Rhinolophus ferrumequinum: one gene and its partners. The protein of the gene in region 1 purifies or fractionates together with the protein of each later gene. This does not show direct contact. Links are inferred from orthologs where the notes say so. Each region holds a gene or a part of one and is shown on either strand. Other genes may lie near its edges.

Region 1 (7,086 bases):
TGAAGGCCTTTGTGGAATTAGGAGGACTGCAGCTTCTACTTGTTTCCTTGATTTGGATGTGTTCTGGGCAAGTGTTGGTGGAATGCAGCCATTTTAATTTCTACGCTGTAGCTTAAAGAGCACTATTTTGTCAAGATCAACTGGTAGGCCGTAACGAATTATCTCTGGGAAGTGGCTATCAGGCAATTGAAGTGTGACAAGACCAACTTGAATTTGATTATCCTGTTAGTCTCTGTGGAATTGTAACACAGGTTTTCTCTGATGAAGCTGTCATTCAATCCTAGCTTACCTATACACCAAGGAATCAGGTAATTTCTGCTGAACTTTGTTGGGAGTATACGGTTCCCAGCTCCCATGTCACACTTAACAACACTGAATTGAGCAGTGTCTTTGTGGTACCCCCACCTACTCAACAATGGTTCTTGGTACAGGACGGATACTGTGTGAGATATGGCTATGCCCACTTCAGAGAACACTGGTTGACACTTTTTTATGGACCATGCAATTACTCACTTCCAGGGAATTTCACCCAGCCTTTCACTTAGGAAATCTAGAAGCTTGTGTCCTTGGACATGGAGCAGCAACACAAAGTAGCCCAGTTTATAGATGTCACGTGGCATTTTACTTTTATATACTTACATGACTTTAATTCATTTCATCTATTGTAATCCCCTTCATGATGCCTTTGAGAAGAAGACCTTTGTGTTTTTAACTGTCAATGTGAACACAAATTCATGAATAAAACTTGACATATTTTACTGTAAAAAAAAAAAAGTTGGTAGAGAGACTTACTTTTAACTAGCCTGTGTAAATGTTATCATGTTCGTGTATATTTCAAAGTCCGTACATCAACAACATGGATAAATCTCACAAACATAACGTTGAATGAGAGAAGTCAGACACAGGAGAATATATATCGTATGATTCCATGACTATAAAGGACAAACAGGCAAAACTATGAAGTTAGAAATCAGGATAGTGGTTACTCTTGGGAAAGGGGGTAGTGACTGGAAAAGGAGGACGAGGGGTCCTCCTGGGGTGCTGAAGATGTTCTGTTTCTTGATCTGGGTGCTGGTTTCACAGGGGTGTTTAGTTTGTGAAAGTCATCCAGCTATTTATGTTCTGTATGTACACTTCAATAAAAAAGTCTTTAAAATGTATTAGAAGTGTAGTGTAGAGGCTTGTGGCACTGTCCATCTTGATCCAATCTGTGAAGACACGTAAATGGACCTGGACAGGACTTCCATCATCGTGGCAGAGACACATTTTGTCCAGGCCGGTGGTTTGTGCCAAAGGTGAACACTTGGGCTCTAATAGCCAAGAGCAAACCCAGCAATGAAGTTTGACCTGGGGATGATTAGGGGAGTCTGGATGGAGGAGGGCAGCCATGTCCTGACGCACCCACTTAACTCAGCAGCACTGCTTCAGCTTTACCTTAAGGGGGACAAGTTAGTGAAAAGACATTGGCGATATTCGCCAGCGTCTCCCAATGAGCCCCTTCTAGACCTTTCTGAGTCTACTACTCACTCCTGGACAGGGTTTCTTGGCTGATGATGAGAATTCATGTCTTGAAATTTCTTTGGTGGATATTCCATTATCTAAAATAAAAGGTACTGACATCTGTGCCTCCCAAACATTATAGTATCCCAGCCATCCTGCCCTGAACTTTGGAAGACAACACAGTTCTGAGCCTTCCCAGTCACATGAAAATTCAGCCTTGGCAGATAAACAGTGGTGATCCCCTCTCACCTACCCCTCTCATTGTTACTTGGCCAGTAGCCAGAATCCACACCTAACATGGACTGAGAGGTGAAAAGCAAAGCAAGAGGAAAGAAGAAAAGAGTTCCTTAGAGGAAATTGCTAATTTATGTCATTATAAACCCAGGGAATATCTGCAGAAGTGTCAACTTTGTGTGTGCCAGATTAAGGACAGTGAGCATAATTTTGGATGGGGCTACATTTATCACTATGGGTGTAGATTGGTGATGTTCAAAGTGTGGTCCACAGACTGATGCCGCTTCACAAACTGCTTCTTTCAGGTCCAGGATAAGTATAGAATTTAAAAGTAAGCATTTAAAAACTCATACGGCATTTGTCAGAGTACTTTTATATATGTTGATTACAAACAAACAAAAATGTGGGCTTGTAATTTTTATATTTTTTAGATTTCATTCTTTCAAGAACTCATTTTTATTGTATTTTATACAAGTATCATCTGTGATAGACTGAAAATAATCAAGACTGGTTCTTCCCTCACAGATCATTTATAACAGAGATTTTTGTTCACTAACGGAAACAGTCAGCTGATAGTTGCCGAGCTGATAGAACAGGTTTTTTTTTGCTTTTATGAATAATGCAAATCCCAATTTTATGCTCGCCCATCAAATATTCCTGAAAAGCCAAATATGTTCTGACATAATGTGCAAGTGGGAATTTAATTACTCCAAGGGACAGAGGTACTGTATTAGATCTATCAGGCATTATGTCCCCTGATAGCTTCCAAAAGAGTCTCCCTTCACTAACTCCTGAGAAATAAACTGTACTGCAAGTGATAGGATATTTATAAAGCTTTTTATTGGCTAGTCTCTCTACGCCAAGTATGTTGATGAAGGCATCGCTATTGAAAAGGGCTCCCAGATCTTAGGAAGTGGGGTTGGGTTGACCCTCAGTGAAAACCTCCAGAAGCAAAATGATTTCTCACAAATGGCAGCAGGGTGGTCATGATCCTCAAATCTCTGCATTAGGAAAGGAGACCTGTTGCCTCATGTAAGGAAAATGTTGAGATAGGCATCTAGAGGCTCAAAACATATCATCAAGGTCTTAGGTTCTTCCCAGACATCTCTCCTACCTTTTGCAATGTCACCTTCATTCTCAGGCAGCACCACCAGCATCAATGCCAGGCTGTTTGCTTCCTGGTCCACTTCTAACAGGAGAAAAGGAGTTTCTGCCTAGCGTTCTGGAGAATTCTAAGATTCCCACTAAATGGCCACCTTAGGTCACATGTTTATCCCTGAATCAGTGACCATGATCCTGGAGTAAAAGGTGTTGACATGTAAATCAAACAGGGTCTACTCCTGGACCGGGGATGGGGTCAGCTTTCATCTCACAAAACTCAAGGTGCTTTCAGGAAGTGGAAATCACTCAGAGCATGGATGCTGGCTAGCTAAGCATAATGTCCGCTACAAAAGGTCTTTATCAGGTTAGGGATTTGGAGTTAGCAGCAACAGAAACTGACAACAAGAATGCGGAGACAGGCAGTTCCCTAAAGCAAAGTTAGGGTGTTATTATTTGAAGACAGGAAGGGTGCTGGATAGGCAATACTACTACTTAGAAATATCTGCTAGTTATTTATTTCATAGAAGGTCTCAAGATGTATTTATTTAACCCAATAATAAAATTTGGGATCGGAAAGAAAAGAAAAGTAGGGAGGGTCGCCGGAAAGTGAAAGTGAGAGTCAGTCCAAATAACACGGCCTTCATCAGGAGACCTGCAGAGAAAGGTCTGCTGGTGGAAAACTACTAGGAAGGTGAGCGAAAGACTTTAAAGAACAAAATAGTAATGACACAAGAATAATTTACTATAATTGAGTCTAGATCCAAGTATCTGCGATGACTTCATATATCAAGGGTAGCATTTAAATTCCACTGGGGATAACTAAAATCCTTGGGCATTATATATGAGAGAAACATAGAAAGACTCTGGAAAAAAAACACAAACAACAAGTAAATAAATAAATAAATCCCACTAGGCATGGTGTAGTTTAACAAATTGTGCTGGCATAACTGGCTCTCTATCTGGCAGAAAACAGAGTTAGACCCTAGTTCATACATACACAGGGGTAAATTCCAGCTATATTAAAGATATATATATATGAATATTTTTATATATATATATGAGAATATTTGATTGGGAAATAAGGGAAACTTGCCTAAACCAGAACCCCAAAATGCTGCGGCTCGCATTCAGTTTCTTCCTTTGGGACCCTGCGGGGCTACGTCATGGGAAACCCAGCCAATGAGCATTGGGCCTGGGCGGTGCGCTCAGCCAATGGGGCTAGGGCGGGAGATTTGAAAGGGCCTTAGCGGGGGGCGCGGCCGGGGCGATTCAGTCGTTTGCTAGCAGACAACAGGTTGGCTGTGCCGCGGGCTCCAGGGGAGCTGACCTTCTTTCGTGGGTCTTGCGCTGGGAGAAGGCAAGTGATCAGACAGGTCTGGGGTCCATTGGGCTGGCCCGCGCGCACTCGGTCCGGCTGCTGGGTGCTCAAGGTTTAGAGATAGGGTCCTGGAAAGGGGTGGGGCTTGTAGCAGGGCGGGGGCCGCGAAGCCAGCTCCCGGGTGCGCTGAAGCGGTCAGTTTGCTGATATCACTTTCACTGGCCTTTGGCAATCGCGTCTGGCTACATCAGTCCGACCCCTCCTTTTCTCCCTCTTTTTCCTGTTTCTAACGGCTCTTTCTTTCTTCCTTCGTTGCTCAGCTCTCCTCCCCCTTTCCCTCTAAAGATGACTCAGAAGGAGAACGCATACCCCTGGCCCTACGGCCGACAGAAGGTAAGGGCTTTCCCACTTATCCTCCCCCCACCCTCATGGCGAGTTCCTGCTTCGAGATTTGAATTCCTGTAGAGGGCGATCCTCTAAGCACTTTCCTCTCCCTTATGCTCCAAGAGTTTGCTGGCAGAATCTAGTCTGATCATTTGCAGCCACATCCGGTCACGTGCTGCCAACTTGAATCTGACCAGTCTTGTAGGGACCTCTGCAGGGCTGAGCCTTCTTGTTATATACAAATGATAACAGACTGAGCAAGCAGGGTCTGGCCTTCGGGCCATGATTCCCAACCCTTGTCCTGAAAAAAAATAGGCTTAATAATTTGGACTTTATTTTAATGACGGGTGTGAGATAAGGATCTAAATAGATTTATTTTCCAGTTATCCCAACACCTTTCATTGAAGAGTCTATCCTCTGATTTGAAATACCAGCTTTATTATATATATTAAATTCCCACATATACGTGGGTCTATTTCTAGACTCTTTTGTTCAACTTGCTTATCTGTAAAAGTCGCGTCCAGCGCAACACGGGCAATGAGGATGCGAGAAGGGGCGGCTTTGGGTTAAGTTTTTAAGAAAGAAAGAAACAGAGACTTAATGCAGTTAAATCTCAGAAGGTCAGGGGACTCACAGTTCTCAAAGACTGGAGCCCAGAATAAAGCCGACTGGTGGTATCTATTGACAAGTATACAAGGAAGTGTTATTGCTTCTGACACAGTCTGTGAGACTCATCCATCACGTTATAGAAACAATCCAAATCAATTATGTTGGTCCCCAAACAGCTGAAGCAAAAGTCCTATGATGACTGAGGTGAGGTATGTGACTCCCTAAAGGATGTATATCACATGTTGAGACTGTTTTATAGAGCTGAGCAGAGAGAGCTTGATCTTATCGCTCTAAAGACTTTTCTCACAATTAGGTGAAAGGGGAAAACCAGAGAGTCAGCAGTGGTTTTTCCCAGGCAGGGGGAAGGGGAGACAAGGCCCCTTCCCAAATCTTTTTAAGGCAGCTCATGGGGGTCTCCATGGGGTTCCGCCTGGCTTGAGTTGTCCCCCCCCCTCCCGTGGGGAATCGTACTCGTCATTGGCTGCAACCCCTCTTTTGGAGACTAAATAGAGAGAAATATACAGTCCCAGGGATGCACAGTCTCACAGACTCTTCTTTCCTTAAGGAAAGACATGGGGGGACAGTCTGCTAGGCTGTTGTGTGACAACATGTAAATTCTATACTAATATCACTGTTTGGGAATAGCCTTTCTTCCTCTCTTGGCTAAATTAAAAGGAAGGAGCCCACACAGGCTTTGCTCCCTATTTGTGGGCTTCAGTATCCGGGAGGGTCCACCTGTCCCCTTGTCTACCAGCTCCCTCCCTCATGGAGCTGTCAAGAGCAGAGGCTGAGTGAGAAACCACTGTCACTTCTACACTGGTCACTCCCAGAAGGAAGTTGTGTATATTACCCAGAAGTTGAAAGTGAGAAGTGGTCCAAAGCCAACAAAGTAGCCCTCAGTGTCCCTAAAGCCTGTGGTTGCAAGGGGTAAACTGATGTTTGCTGAACATTCAAGGACCTTATCTAAGCCTTACTAGACTGAACTCTTTAGGGGACTGTGAGAATGCCTCTGTGCTGAAACTCCTTGAATTGTGGATCTTCATTGCCCCAGCCCTCTCTACTGTCCCCTGGGGTGGGGGGTTGGTGAACGAGTGGTGTTATGGTCAGGACTATAGAGATTGGACAGCTTCATGCTAGAGAATGTAGTGAGGGCCAAGGCCAATGAGGTGAAATGTTAGGTGTTGGGGTAAGTCCTTTGCTCCTTATCTTCGGCCCGTTTAGCTTATTTATTAATAACCCATTAATATGGGGCTCTGAGCAGCAATATTTGAGTAGCAATATTGTGGTCACAGTGCTCCTCTTTCAACTGGGAGTGGGTGGCTCTAAGCGAGAATGCTGCTTGTAGCACATTCCAACCTGGTCACTGGGACAAAGGCACCCTCAGAGCTCCCTGTGCTCTTTCTCAGGCTCATTCTGGCTTGAACACCCTGCCTCAGAGAGTCCTCCAGAAGGAGCCTGCCACCCCATCTTCGCTTGTCCTCATGAGCCGCTCCAGTGCCCAGCCCACAGGTAACTGGAACAAGGGGAAGAGGACTGACCTGAAGGAACTAGAGTCTGGGGAGGGTGCGGGGATGAAAATGTCAAAGGACGGCCTCAACCTCTCTGTTTTCTCCTTAGCTGCCCATGGCCAGAACAGCAGTGGGACACCCAACTTAATGTAAGTGCCCAAGCCTTGGGGTGGCAAGAAGAGCGGATGGGAGAGTGAACAGGTTGGAAATGAGGGAGGTAGAAGCTAGGGGCAGGAGGAGGAGGGATGCAGGCAAGAAAACCTGATCCATCTTCGACTCCCTTGGAAGAGAAATGGGGCTGAGGGCAGGATGAGCTGAGGTGCAGGGAGAAGCCAAACAGCTCAGGTGATCCACAAACTGGTACTCAGCTGCCTTCCCCCCACTCTCTAATCAGCCGGTCCTTCACAATTGACGACTTTGAGATTGGGCGTC
Region 2 (8,051 bases), on another chromosome or scaffold:
AAGCCCTTTCATAACTTGCACTCTGTGCTGCTTCCCGTACCTGAAAAGTGCTTTCCCTTCTTGTCAACCAGCAACCCCTAGTCAACCTCCAAAGCCCAGTTCAAATGAACCCTCCTCAGTAAAACCTTAACTGATGTGTTGCTTTCCACTTACATCCTCAAGTTAGTTACTTCCTTCTCTTTCTGAACCACCATCATTTCAGGGATCACCTTGAATGTAATTATCTACTTAAAAGTTTTCTAGACTAGATTCTAGACTGAATTCCAAGAGCGTTGAGCCTGTCAGATTCATTCAGAGAACCTACCAATGGGCCACAGAGTAAAAATGAGGGATGAGTGCATGAAAAAAGAAAATGAATGAGATTTCTGGGAGATGAAGGGATAAATCCAATTTCAGGCCAAAGCTACAGACTGCTGTCCCCAAAGCCCAAAGCTCAGTGGGATAAATTTCTATGGCCAGGGCCTTCCCGCAGCCACACCTGCCAGACCCATCCCCCAGTCCCACCCGCGTGGCAGCGACAGGGGACAGGAGACAGGGTCGAGAGAGAACAGGCTGGCTCCTTTCCGTCAATATGGCCGAGCCAGAAGCCGAGGAGGGTCTCCCCAGCGCTTTCCACCCGGCCTGAGCCCACTCTCCTACAGGATGCGACCGCCCCTTCCCAGAATCGCCTCAGACCCTGGGTCCTGTGACCCCCAGCTCCAGTCCGCATTACCTGCGGTGGCTTTGGCCCGTACCGGACTGTGGCTCCGCCCCAATGGGGGCGGGGCTTGGGCCTTCGCCCTATCCCAGACCCCGGAGGAGCGAGGCGGCCAACCGCTCCCCTCCTCCCACCCCCAGAGCCCAGCCCCCCGAGAGATCCCTTAAAGGGGTGTAGGCCGGGCTGTGCATTTCTGGGATCAAATAGGCCGGGCGCTTGTAGGGACCTCATCCGCCAGGTCAGCGGTGTAAATAAACCAGGGCTACTTGGAAAAGATTTACACGCGAAATGCGGGGGCCTCCACTTGGATGACCCACTTCCTTCAGCAGCTGGGCTATTATCCTAAAGGGGCTAGCATATTTTCAGTTCCAGCGACTATTAGAAATGGGTTTTGAAAGGGAGAGTTAAGGGTGTTTTCCTAGGTGTGAAATCTACCTGCTCAGTCTTTAGGCCAGTTCAAGATTTGGCACCTTAAAGGGCTGATTCATTCCAGAATTAGCATGTGTAACTATGGCAGGTACTATGCTGAACCAAACAAAAAAGGTCCGTGGCCTCCTGGAGTTTACAACCGTACTAGACAGGGAGAGAGAGAGGTTAAATAGAAAAACAAATAACTAGGTACATTTGTAAAAAGTGTAAGGAATAAAAAGTTCATCAATGAGAGTATTTCTTGGGAAAGTTAAGTTTCTCTGGGCCTCGGTGTTACCTGTCTGTAAGATGGGGCTAATTAAGATTTCTGTCACAAGGTTATGGTGGGGAATACATGAGCTAATATAAAGTGCTCAGTGCCCAGCTGCTGGTGTAGAGCTGGTCCTTTGTAAAGTATAATGCTATTCCTAGCTATAACCCAACTCTAGACGTGAGTCCTGAGTTAGAAGTGTTCATCCGCATTTTCTCTGGTCTCCATAACCATAGGTTCCCTGTGGCTTTCCTCAAAATGGAGAGGCGGCTCACCAATGCCTGTTTCAGAGAACCCCCGCAATCTCTTAGAGGGCTGAGGCCAATTGTATCCTAGGAAATACAAGAAACAGCTAAGGAAGGAAATATGGGAGCTCCTGGAGTACAGAAATATGGTAGCATAGTGGGAAGCAGAAAGAGACACTTGGGTTCAAATCAGGCTCCAGCACTAACCATCTAACCCTGACATTTGGCAAGTTCATTACCCTCTGCGAGCCCTAGTTTCATCATCTACAGAATGGGAATAGTAACACCTACCTCAGAGGAAGCAGTTGAGAGTGTTGGATAGTACAGGTGAAAGGCCAACTTGGTAAATATTTTGGTTACTTGAAACTATAATGAAAATTTATTGACAATATGGTCTGCAGTTCTCTTCACTGCTCAAACATCCTATTTCAAACACCTGGAGTCTTTGTGAGTTCTCATATTAATGGGAAAATCTCCACTGACTGCCAAAGAGGAGTTTAGGGGTATTTAGTCATTCTGCTCTCCTTCAGGAAAGGAAGCCAAGGGCAGGTTGGCTCTGCCATATGTCCATGTGCATCTAGATGGAGATTTCTGCTTAGAGTTGTAGAATGCTCTGATGTCCCCTATGTCTTTTGGCTTTTCAAAGTACTTTTCAAAATACCATGCTGGAGTTGCACATAAACAAGAAAAACTGGAAGAGGTTTGTGGGCAAAATAGCAAACAGTTTTCATTGTGGGACCTATGCTTTTAGACTAGAAATCACATTTCAGAAAGTGCTAGAAGGAACTTTTGAGATCTATTTTTAAAATGGAAATCAAGGCCCAGATAAGTTAAAATGACTAACTCACACAAATGGCAGAACCAGGAGCCCAGATCTTCTGCTTTGTGCAAGGAAGACTAATGACATATTCCAGTCAGCAAGCTCTGTACACTCACTGTCTGTGTAACAAACCACCCAATGTGTCTATTACCTCTTCTAAGAACTCACCCACCATTCAGGGATACCTTCCTCCTTTCTCTATGCTCCTCATGTGAACAGTGAGGGTCACCGAATAAGGTGGGTCTGCAGGATGGAGCTTCTTGCTGCCAGACAATTTGGTAATGTGAGGACTACCAGTTATTTTCACTGGAAAGGATCTCATATGCTTTCATTACCTACCTGATCACTGGCTTATCAGCAAGGGAAGCAATGATGCCGGTGACACTTTCCTTTCAAGCACTTTGTCCTCCTTCCCAATTCTGAGATAGTATCTTGAGTAGGATTCATTCCCAGTTACTGAGGTGCAGAGATGAAAAGTGAACTGCCAGCTTTCCAAAGAGGAGTATAAAAAAAAAAAAGTCAACAGTAGCATATTTTCCTCACTTGGAATTTTTTTCTTCAAGATATTTTGAGCATATTCTCCCTTATACTTTTTCCCCCTAAAGTCTTAAATGTTACCTCTTCAGAAAGGCCTTTCCTGCCGTCCAATGCTGAAGAGCTAACACTCACATTGCACTCACTCTGGACATGACATCGTTTTAACCCCTTTCCACATATTAAATTTATTAAACCTTAGTACAAGCCTATAAAGTATTACTCTGAACATCTCCGTATGGGGTAGGCACTTATTACTATCTCCATATTGTAGCTGAGAAAACTGGAGCACAGAAAAGATAAATAACTTTGCCAAAGTGATACAGTGAGTAATAGACTTGAACTCTGGTTCTAGAGTCTGCACACTTAACCTCCACTATCTTGACAATCTTAAAATAGGCCTCTCCTCCATTTTTTAACTCACAGTACCCCTTCTTTCCCTCTTTAACAGTAATCACACTTTGCATTTAATTACGTGCTCATTTATGTTTATTGTTTGTCTCCTGTATCATTCACATCATAGGTACTATGTAACTATTATTGAACAAATGAAGAAATGTATGTTTGTGAGCATCATTCATTGTGCAACCAATTTTAAAAAATTAATTTTACTAGAAATGATATTATACTTACAGAACAGTTACAAGAAATATATGAAGAACTCCACCCAGAGACTTGATTAAATTTTAGCCAAATGTCCCCCAACTACATTGTAGAACAAGAGGATCCAGTCCAGGGCCACTTGAGTAACAAATATAGATTGAGAACCTGCTACTATTGGATTATGTAACAGTCTCCTAACTCGTCTCTCAGCTGCAACCATTGCCTCCTAGTTTCATATTGCACCAGATCCTTCTAAAATGAGTTAGATGATGTTACTACTCCTCTGCTCAAAACCCTGCAGTAACTCCGTTACATTAAAAGTAAAAATCAGTAAAAACAAAACAAAACAAAAACAACAACATTCTTTTCTCACATCTCCTCTTCTCACTTTGCTCCAACCACACTAATTTTTTTTGCCATTTCCAAGGTTCTAGATATGCTTCCATCTTAAGGCCTTTGTGTTAGCTCTTTCTCATAACTCCCCTCTAGTATCTGCTGGCTAACTCCCCCACCTCTTTGTTGGTTCTTAAAAATGCATCATCTCACCTCCCTTATCATGCTGTGCTTCCCCCCTCCCAGCACTTGATTACTTTTAAATATACTATATATTTATGATATTTATTGCTTATGTTCTGTCTCCTCTACTACAAAGTAGCTATGGGTTGAGGATAGGGATCTTCGTCTATTTTGTTTGCTGAATATCCCAAGTGTCGACAGCTGTACCTGGCACATAGTTGGTGTTCAGTAAAAGCTGTTGAATGAACGAATATTGAAGGTACTTAGTGCCAGATCCTGTTCTTGGAACTGAGGGTACAACAAAAACTACGTGCTCGCATGGGATTCACACTGAAGTATATTTAAACCAGCTAGACCCGTGTTCCAATCCTGGCTCCCGCGCCTATTCCCTTTGAAACTTGGGAAAATTAACCTCTCTGAGCCTTGCTTTCCTATCAATCATTATGAGGAAAAACAGCATTTATATAGCATGTGGCATAAAAAACGCTTTAATATTTGTTTCGCTTCCTTCCAGGCTGGAAGATTCGTAGCCTGACATCTCTGCCACAGATTTAGGCAAGGTTTTCACAAGGCCTCGGAAAGGTGCAAACAGATTACTACGGCCAAGCTTACCTAATTTTTAATTGAAGATGTTCTCGTGACAGAATGCTTAAATGAGTCGTAGTGGGAAACCAGGGAATGACTAGAGTCACATACTTCGCCGTTTTGCATCGGAAAAGCCTCGTTGGGTCCCCAGACGTTAAAGTCTGGAGGAAGGGAAGAGGAGGAAAAGAGGCGTAGTTGGCCGCTACTGAAAACTACAAATCCCATCCCTCTCAGCGGCAGACAACTACGGGTCGCAGCCGGTTTCATTTTATGTAGCCAGGGAGCCCCTTAGGGCCCGCAGCCTGCGTTCAGCGGGAGAAGGATCGGGGCGTGCCGAAGCAGCGGGGAGAATCGGGTCAAGCTTTACGCCGCTGCGCAGATGCCTCTCACGGGCCGGACGTGACGTAGGAAGAGTTCCGGCTTCGGCCTTTGCCGCTGCCGCCGATACTCCAGCCGCCGCCGCCGCCGCCGCCGTCCGGGCTTGTTATTTCTAAAATGGCGCCCCTAGACTTGGACAAGTATGTGGAGATAGCGCGGCTGTGCAAGTACCTACCGGAGAACGACCTGAAGGTGAGCCCGGTCGGGGCGGGAGCGCTGCTGGCGGGCTCGCCCCTTCCGGCAGTGGGGCGCCCGCCGGCCCGCCCTTCTCTACCCCGGACCCCCGCCAGCATCCCGTCCCGTCACGATGGAGGGCCTGACGCAGTGCTGAGCGACCCGTTCCGACTTGCCTTCTTGCGGAGAGCGGAGGGAGCGGAGCCATAGTCCCCCGAATGCTGTCCCAGTTCCGTAGTGGGGATCCTGAGGGATGTCGCGGCCTCTGTCCCAGGGTTATCCCCCCTGGCTTTCGGGTGTCCCGGGGCACTGAGCCCTCACAGCTGTGCTTGGAACAGAAGTCTTCTCGCCCCTAACTCCATCTCCGGTCTTCCGGAGTCCGAACCGAGCCCCAGCAGGCAGTGCCCTCGGAATGGGTCATCCCCCCAAATATGACAGGAGGTCTGGGTGGCTGGCGAATGACAGGAGATGCCGCCGGCCTCCGGAACGCGTCCTCAGTCAGCGTGTTTGGGTTCCTGAGGACTGGAAGACGGTGGGCGGGAGCGGTTTGGTGGTGATGCGGGAAAACGTCAAGTCGTCCCTCTTTTCCTACCACTCCTCCCAGCTGCTTTTCAGGAGTGTTGGTTTTCTTCTGCCAGCTCAGATATGAATTCCATTTGCAAGTATGTTGTTGAGCTAATTTAAGTGGGTAAAACTAATATAAGTGGGTAATTTAGTAGGCCCTCAATAAATACAAATACTTTTCTGTCCTTTAAGGTGTTTCTCCATAATCCTTTCTTAACCCAATATTTCATTTTTTTGGTTTACTAAAGGAGGCGAGTTTTTTGTTACTGCCAAGTCCAAGTAACAGTAAAGTATGTGTGGGTAAAGGAATAAACGTCAGTCTTTGACAAGTGTTTCTATTTCTGTGCGTTTGTTAAAACCGGTGTTTAGGTGTCAGCAGCATATAGCGGTTAGTAGGGCTACTGTCTTTTATTTTTTTCAGTTAACTTTGGTTTGTATGTGGTAAGTGGGTAAACTGTGTAGTTATGAATTTTTTTTTATACTTTTAAGCTGTGGGTTTAAAGCAATTCATCTTTGTCCGTGAATTTTTTTCTTTTAAGGAAGATGTTACTGGTTTTTTTGTTTTGCCCTTTTGATGCAGGAAGTTGATGTTTAATGTCAGTCAAAAAGTATGCAAAATCTTGAAGGCCAAAGGACCTTAATGTAACTTATTGTACTTATAGGTAAATATATGCTATATGATAGGGGAGTCATTCTTGTGCATGTCCCCCTTTTTAATAGGATAATTTAGTGCTCGCTTCGGCAGCACATATACGAATAGGATAATTTAATTAAAAGGAGGACAAAGCCAGTATTAGTAGAAATGCAGCTTTCATGTTCATCTGAGTCCTTTGTGGCTTCTTTCTGCTATATGCTTTTTAAGGAAACAAGGATACAACCAACACTGGTATCCAGTTCATGGAAATCTAACCAGACATCTTTTGGTAACATTGTTAATCCCATGGGTGAAGTTATTGTTTTTTTGTCAGTGAATTGATGTGAAATTTTCTATTCTTTAGCATCTGTAAAGCAGTTTTAAGCTTTGTGTTTATAATTAGTAAAATGTTGCTTATTATGAAAATGTGTCTTGATATTAACTTGAAATTGATATTGAAATTATTTGGATGATACATCAGTTGGATTTTCTTTAGACCTCTTAGTTTGATAAACGTTAGAGTTCCTTCCAACCTTAAGGAAAAATAGTTCTTAAACCATTTCATTTCCCTTTGCAACACAATTGGCGTATACTTAGCATGTATCTAGTTATTAATAAATTTAAAAAAATCTACTGAGGGAAAAATTCTGAATTTTTTTTTAAATAAGGGGAGGCTTTTCTTCTTTGTCTTGGAAATATTTTTATCAGATTAATTTGCTTGTGATGTATGCTCATCTCTGGTGTATTTAAAGAAATTTAATTTTGTTTCTTCTTGGCATGAAGTGCAAACTAAAATTAGGCAGTCCAAGAAAGTATTCCAGGAGTACCTTTTCTAAGGCTTTAAAGCCAAAATAAAAGATTCTGTAAGAGGAAGAAAAGAAATCACTGGGATCACGTAATGATCATTATGGAAAAGATTTGTTCTGGTAGAAAAGGCAGAAATTCAGTGTGTTTTAAATTGACTTTAAGTTGGAGGTACTAAGTAAAATACTAAATGTATAAGATGCTCTAGATCTAATCATGATTTCTCTACACCTAAATTGTAAGTGGTCATGTCACTAGTACACAATCGAATCTTCGTAACTGTTTCGCAGGAATAAGAATGAACTATAAAAGTGAGTGGACCAAAGCATACCCTTTCTTTAAAAAGAGCTCATGTGATTCTCATCCATAAGGATTCAGAGCTGATCATAGAAGACATAGGTAGACTGATCTGATCAAGTGGAAGAATGAATGATAAAAGACTGTTTCACTGAATACTTCAACTTAAATACTTTGGCAGGGGATGGGTTTTATAAGTTGGAGATTGTCTGATCTCTTGGATAGTTCTTAAAGGTGACATGTAAGCAAAGAAATTGCACACTGAGTTGGTGTACAGTTTTTTTTCACTGAGGAACCAAAGAGAGTTACCATGGTAGGGGTTGGAGAATACTAGTGTCTGTCTCAGAGATGCAACACAAGGAATTGTGTGATTCCATAGTAACCACTTTTATGGATTAATTGTTAATGTAATTTTTTTTGGAACTCACTTTTATGTTTAGTCTGAGCCATCTCCTAAGTTTTTCATATAAGGCTACCTGCTCTGCACAGTTGTACCTCTGTCTGAAATGCCTCCATAAAGG
Region 3 (7,265 bases), on another chromosome or scaffold:
ATTACTGGGCGGTCCCGAGGTGCTGTTTGCGGACGGCACCAACATGCCGTCTGTGCCCCCAGCACGGCTATTCACCAACTCTGGAAGAACGTCCTCTGCATTATGAACCTTTTGACCTTCGGGAAGCAAGCTCTTTGGAACTGGATGAGATGGTGGCTGAACCAGCAAATTAGCAGGTTGGGCGGAAACCACTTCAGGGATAGCAGAAACTTGTGGAAAATTACTCTGGGCAAGACTGTTAGGCAGAAGCAAGCACGTGAGGGAGCTGGCTGGAACCCCAGACAGAGGAGCGGCTTCTCCACCATCACCCCCCACGGCCCGGCTGCTCGTGGTGGCTTTGTCTCCCACCCGAGCGTCTCTCCAGGACCGACTCTTCTCATTGGGGTTTGACAAGGACACAGAAAAATGAATGGGCTGAGCCAGGTGACAGCTCTGATCAGGCTGGGCAATCAAGACCAGCTGATTTCGCAAAGATTCAGTGGGCGGTGAGGACAACAGACTGGCATAACCAGAACCAGAACTCGCCTGCGACAGAAGGGTGTCTTCCTCTCCCATTTTGGGAGGGTTCTCGAGATTCTCAGAAGCACCAACGCCGTCGCCGCTCTGCAGAGGGGGCAGGCAGCCAGGCTGCGGGGACAACTGACCGGACACCCCCTCATCTGGGGGCTGAATCACTTCTGACGGCTGAGGTTTCGCAGGCACATGCAGCACAGGAGCAGCCGGGGCTAGGAGGACGTTGCCTCCGAAGTCTGGCAGCTCGTTCTGGGCCCAGAGCGTCGTTGCCGGGCTCTCACACTTGACGGCTCCCTGAGCCCTGGTCGACGGTCTCTTCTCAGGTGTCAGAAGCACGGATTCCGAGGGCGGCCCCAGCCCCTGACCAGCGTCCGTAGGTGTAGCAAGAGGCAGAGGACAGGCCTGGGCGGGGAGGAGCGTCTCCATGTTGTCCGGTGGCTGCTCCAGATTGCCAGGGCAGGCGTCGGGCGGCACAGCGGCCGGTCTGCGCTTCCTCCGCTGGGCGTGGGTCCCCCGCACCTCGCCCACCACATTAGCACGATCGGCCTCGACTGGTTTCACTCCAACTACGTGGGATTTCACGGGTTCAAAAGAACTATTTGCACTTGTCTGAAAGATCCCTGTAGGTTTTGGGGGACTTGGGGTTGAGGGCTGGGGCAGGCTGCTGTGGTACTTCTGGCTCACGGCAGTGTCGTCTGTCTCGCCCCCCACAGGAGAAGAATCGATTTGCTTAAAAAAAATCCCTGAAGCCTCGTCCTCAGGTTTCCCAACTTCCTGCTGAATGAAGGTGCCCAGGTCCTGGGGCCTGGCCGCACCTGGACGACTCCTGTGGCTCTTGCTACTGTAACTGGACGACAAGCCGTCGGGGCACACGGAATAAAGCTGAGGGTCCAGGGCCTCGAGATTTGGGCCCCCACCTCCAGCGTGGCCCATGATACTGCGCCTGGGGACGGCTGCTCCGGGAACGGGCCCGTATCTGAGCTGATCGCCTGGGGAGGAAGGGTCCAAACTGGGGGGTTCACGTGGCAGAACCTCTTGATTCTGAGTGAATTCTGAGTTCTCGGCATTCTCACAGTGTGAGCCACCAGCGTCCCGAGTCCCCGCACCTGCCGTGTCAGCCCACACATCAACAGCAGCGTTTTCAGTGGTTGGCTTATCATGTTGGACGCCTGAAGACCGAGGGAAGAATGGGTGCGTGTCTCCTCCCTGCGGCGTGGTCTCACAGTTGGAGGCGCTGGGACAGGCCTGGTACATGCCGCCTGCCCCCACGTATGCAGGGGGATGGCCAAGTCCAGGGCTGGGGGAGAACCCGTCCAAGGCAGACTGACCAGCAGAGCCCGTTTTCTCAGATGAGAGGTTCTCCTCATTTTCTGTCTCTCCCCCTTGGAAAAACATGGAGAGCGCACCTGAGTCGGCGTCTGGCGGGGCCCGGCTGGTCCCGGCCCCCACGGCATAGTGCAAATGACTTTCGGGGCTATTTCCCTGAGCGAGGGGGTTAACAGAAGCAGAGTCTGGCAACTGCTCTTTATTCACTCCTGGATTCGGCCGGAAGTCCTGGCCAGCCCGAGTGTTCCCAACTCGGAAATTCTGCCTGAATGCATTTTCAAGATCAAAGTTACTTGCTGAGTGGTTTCCACTTTGCAGGTAGGCTGCTTCATCTCTTCCGTCACCAACCATGGGTCCTGGTAAAGACACCAGTGGGCTGTGTGGCTCGTGGCCAGGACCTTGATGTGGGGTGGACGGAGCGAGGAGGTGGGAAACGCTGGAGGCCTGGGACACCGCATTCTGAACAGGTCCTTCTGGACAGGGCCAGTAATGCTGAGCTGGGGGCTGTGGGGCTCCTTGCACTGGCCCCCACCGCCCTGACATTTGCTGATGAGGCTGAGGGAAGAAATGGGACGTTGCTGGTGCCACAGCACTGTCGTGCGGGTTCTGCCCACTTGGGGGCCTGTCGGGCCCAGGCAGGTTCCCATGTGGATGGCCCCCATGAGAACTGTCAGGACCCGCTCCTGGAATGTACTGAGTCTGAGCTTCCCATTCGGAGCTGGACGAGACCTCGGCACTCCTGTTCATCTCGGGCCCAGGCGGTGCTGAAGAGGTCAACACACTGGAAAATGAGCCCGCATCTGCCCTGGGCTGCGACACAGATCCCGGCAGAGGCTCGTGAGGTCCCTGGGAGCCACCCCCAGCATCTGTGTGAGGCACAGGCAGACCAGAGCGCTGAAGAAACGCTGGCAAGGCCGGGCCCGGCAAAACAGGTGGGCTGCTTTTGGACAAACTGCCCAACGATGTGCTCTGGAGCGCCTGTCTACTAAAAGCGAATGGGTCCGTCACCGGCTGCAATGGGCGAGCTCCTGGAGCCACTGGTGCACTAGCTATCGCCTGTCTCCTATACGGGCTGCTAGACCAGTGTGTGCTCTGAGGGGTCCCGGCTGGAGGTGGCCCCACCACGCCGGGTGGGACGGCCTGGGGTGGTGGCTGCATGACTGACAGATGCCACTCACGGAAAGATGCAGGATACAGGCTTTCCTTAATCTAAACTGAAAAAGAAAAAGAAAAAAAATTAGCATAAAATCCATATATTCAGTCACGGTTGCAATAAGGAAATTAAGAAAAAAGACAAAGACTGTCACAGATTTCACATTACATAAGTCCTGAGGGATACATGTCTGCTCCCCCCACTGCCGGACAGAACTGCCGCCGTCCCGGGAGCTCTGGGCAGCAGAGCATCGAGCGAGAACACTGGGCCGGAACATGGAAGCTGGCTGTGCACTGACTAACTGAATGACCTCAGACAAGTCACTGCCCTTCTCTGGGGCTCAGTTACGTAGCCCAGCAAAATACCCACCCAGAATGCCCGCTGCCTCCATGGTGCCCTCACCAAGCTGGCAGGGATGAGGGAGAACCTGCCGGTCTGACTGACTAGCAGGGACACAGTAACTTTTCCTGTAACTTATCACCAGACCCAGAAAGAGCCAGCTCCCTGAAGACTGCATATCACACTTCTCATACAGGTTCATTCTAACTCTCAAAAGGAAAACCAAAGTTTAAAATGTGCTCTTCCGTTTTCTTTAGTGAAAAAATATTATAAAGTACAGAGTGATGCAAGCTGCAAAGTAGGAACATGAACCGTATTTATCTAAAATGCCTTTTATCCCACCACGTAAGTCTCATTTTCTGCACTTGGACTGGCTGAATACCAACAGCACAATGAGCTGCCTGACTGTTGGCACGTCATCACTATGCCTGGTAAATGCCAAGTCCATGTAAAGCAGCTGTCAAAGAGACCAAATGAGGGGGCGGCCGGATGGCTCAGGTGGTTAGAACACGAGCTCTCAACAAGGTTGCAGGTTTGATTCCCGCATAGGATGGTGGGCTGTGCCCCCCCGCAACTAAAGATTGAAAACGGCGACTGGACTTGGGGCTGAGCTGCGCCCTCCACAACTAGATTGAAGGACGACGACTTGGAGCTGATGGGCCCTGGAGAAACACACTGTTCCCCAATATTCCCACATAAAAAAATTAAAAAAAAAAAAGTACCACCAATTGGTTGTTACACAGTAGTCACGGGGACGTAGGGTATAGCATAAGGAAAATAGTCAATAACATTGAAACAAACTAAAAAAAGTGACCAAATGACTTGATTCAAACATTTTGAAGAATAGGCAGAGCGCCAACAAAACTTTTATAGAAACCAAGGAGTAAAAATCCTCTTTACAGTGTTTTCTGTTGTTGATTATTTTTAAATAAAATATATCAGGTATAACCTTGAACAGTTAACCTGTACTTTGAAAACAAAAAGTCCTAGTCCTGCCTCTTTACAACACGCTTCTCTCTGCAGGTATCCCTCCTTTTCTCCCTAGCACCACCCTCACAAACGGATTAACTTTAGCCAATCACAGAGGAAAGTAAACACCAAAGGCAGAGGTGGTACAAGGACTCTGGAGTTGAATCCACATGTTTTGGTTCTTGGAAATCTTTCTAATGTGCAAATTAAAAAACCACTTATGAATGTACTTTAGGTAAAGCACTTTACAAATAAAAGTTCCTATCCCCAACTGAAAACGAATCCTACGAATCTGATTCGCTACCATCACTGCCCGCACACGCTGTCCTAGGTCAACAGGAAACCCTTCCCGACTAACACTTTGCAGCTCACTCAAATTTAATAGACTGTATGTTATATACTAGGAACAGCATCAGAGACTTCATTTGGTTCCAAGCTGTCATTTTAAAACAAAGAACATTTACGGCTCAGCTTTATATGGACTGAGGGTAGAACAGGCTGAGCGTTTTCCTTTGTGAAACAGGTACCCAGGACGTCTTCCGGGACACAACTTCCTCCTTGCAAGGCTTCAGAAGACCCTCAACCATTCTAAGTAGCTTAAAAAAAACAAAGCACGGAGCACAGGCCTATAGGATTTGTTCATCAGGCGTCACTGTGAGAGCAAGACTGGGCGTCCAGCCGAGTGGCTTGGGCACACCTCTTCTCTCGCTGCAACCCAGTGTCTTTAGCCATAAAGGAGAGAATTAATGTGATGACTTCTAGGGTCCCTTCTAGGTCTAATCTGATCAAATTCTACTCCCAGAGGATTCTAGGGTGCACTAATTCCTACCACTGTTTAACAAGGAAATCTTACCAGAATCTACATTTCCCATGTTTATACTTAAATGTTTTCCTTGCAGAAACTTAAAATTTCCTCAGCTCCTAGACTGAGAATCGTTTCAGAAGCAAACGCTACTCTCCTGACCACAAAGTGAGAGCTTTTTAGCAATATACCAATTCCATTTGAAACAATCTTGGACAATCTTATTCTTTTGATCTTTTTTCTCTATTCACCAGCAGAAAAACAATGCAACTGCGTGTCATTTGCCTCCTGATGACAGGGAATTTTATTCTGTCCAGTAAGTCATGCTGTAGCCTCAAGTCGTCTAACTTTAAAAAGACAGTTTCAGAAAGACCAGCTGATTTTAAGATGCATTATTCATAAACCTAGTCTTCGATTTAACTTGCTTGTGTCCGTGAAATATTTTGGCATGACCCGTGTCCAATATAAATTCCTAGCTACTGAACTGAGATACTTAAAGCACACTCCTCCCCTCCCAGAGCCACTGCCCCAGCTGCAAGTGTGTAAACCAACAGGAGCACGAAGAAACACCTGCATCTGCCCTCTGCCTACGACCTCCCCCATGGTGACAGCTGGAGTGACAGCTCTGCTAGACTAAGCACTTGACCCAAAGACACCATAAACTCCAACTTTTCTAAGTACAAACACATTTAGATATTAAAGGAAAAGAAGCGGGAGTCTAAACACTGCTAAAAATGACAAAAACCCATGCTGACACTGAGAAAAGAAGGAATCATATGAAAGTTTACACACTACCCTAAAACAAACTCTCAGTACAATTTTGAGACTTACTGTAGTAACTGCTATTAAGGGTGAATGAGTCACAAGGAACAAGAAAGAAGTGCTCTTTTGCTGCTTGTCTTATCTTTTTAAGATAACAGTACCCACAACCCTAAGAAAGGGCATGGAAAAAAAAAAAACTGCAGGGAGGGTGGCTGTGCTCAAATTGCACAAGTGTCACTCTAGGAACAACTGTCTGTGACTCAGTTTGCTTCTTGTCATATATGAGGATAGGAAATACCTCTGGTAGCACCTGCATCATATGTACAAGGTGTGATAAAAAAATACAGTGAACGCTGCTGCTGAGTGCCACCCAACAGAAAGGCAGGGATCTTTCATATGGGAAGCAGCCTGTCAAACCTTAGTAAGTGTGTGACAAGTTTCAACTTGTTCGGTGCAGTCAGTTGGGTGTGAGCTACGGTTGAGAGAAGATGTGTTTCAAAGTGTGGTGTAAATCATCCTCCATCGTGACAATGCTCCATGTCACACATCGCTTCTGGTATATGGCAATTTTTGTCAAATAAAAACATTACGGTGTGTCCTCATCCACCTTATTCACCAGATCTGGCACCATGTGACTTCTGGCTGTTCCCTAAAGTCAAAACGACCATGAAAGACAAACGTTTGGAATCGATTCAGGACATCGAGGCAGCCACAACAGCACAACTAAAGTCACTCAGGAAAGAGGACTTCCAGAACTGGTTCAGAAAGTGGCAGGAACGACGGGATAAGTGTGTTGAAGGTGTGTGGGAGTACTTTGAGGGGGATTAATGGCAGTGTCTTTTACTGTAATAAACTTTTTAAAAATGTAAACATTTTTATCACATCTCATCTATAAAACAAAACCTTAATAACCAACCCGTGTCCCATCTCCAAGGCATTTCAAAGTGAAGCTGCAAAAACTGATTTTAAATGGCTGAGATGTGTCCAGACGCTGTTGTAATACTTTCCTCACGAAACGAGCAGGCTGGTTTACACATCCTCTAACCCTTGATACAAAACACCAGCACTTGACCTCCGTTGCAACATCTTGGTAACATAACAATGCTGCTCCCTGGTTCAAATGTAAATCTATCTCATCACCTGCATGGCTCAGTAGAAATCTTTCAACCCCTGAAGACAAAACAACTTCAGAACCTTAGAAGCAAAGGACGTGTTAAGAAACTTCCTAAGTGTGTGTACTCTTTAAAAAGTTGCAAGTCTGGCCTATCCCCCAGCCCTTCCAACACGACCCCACACCGAGGCCAGCAAGGCCGAGACAAGTGTCAACACAGCTGAGCCGCAAGGCACTCGCCAAGGACCCGGCCATTCATGTGAGGTCCCGGTCAGTCTGACCAGCGGGCA

What was found.
Region 2: the proteins of AURKB (region 1) and PPP6C purify together in Homo sapiens (affinity purification with mass spectrometry, with the first as the bait; 3 studies listed by BioGRID). This does not show direct contact. The link is inferred for Rhinolophus ferrumequinum from reciprocal best matches to the Homo sapiens genes AURKB and PPP6C.
Region 3: the proteins of AURKB (region 1) and SEC16A purify together in Homo sapiens (affinity purification with mass spectrometry; 3 studies listed by BioGRID and IntAct, with this or other methods). This does not show direct contact. The link is inferred for Rhinolophus ferrumequinum from reciprocal best matches to the Homo sapiens genes AURKB and SEC16A.

The regions. Positions count from the first base shown.
Region 1 is NC_046304.1:10,789,499-10,796,584, forward strand, and holds the start of AURKB (aurora kinase B), read left to right. Parts: upstream 1-4,061; 5' UTR 4,062-4,192; intron 4,193-4,473; 5' UTR 4,474-4,498; coding exon 4,499-4,546; intron 4,547-6,552; coding exon 6,553-6,655; intron 6,656-6,763; coding exon 6,764-6,803; intron 6,804-7,048; coding exon 7,049-7,086. UniProt on the Homo sapiens protein: Serine/threonine-protein kinase component of the chromosomal passenger complex (CPC), a complex that acts as a key regulator of mitosis.
Region 2 is NC_046295.1:74,838,613-74,846,663, reverse strand, and holds the start of PPP6C (serine/threonine-protein phosphatase 6 catalytic subunit), read left to right. Parts: upstream 1-5,012; 5' UTR 5,013-5,174; coding exon 5,175-5,249; intron 5,250-8,051.
Region 3 is NC_046295.1:82,364,674-82,371,938, reverse strand, and holds the start of SEC16A (protein transport protein Sec16A), read right to left. Parts: upstream 3,049-7,265; 5' UTR 2,998-3,048; coding exon 1-2,997. UniProt on the Homo sapiens protein: Acts as a molecular scaffold that plays a key role in the organization of the endoplasmic reticulum exit sites (ERES), also known as transitional endoplasmic reticulum (tER).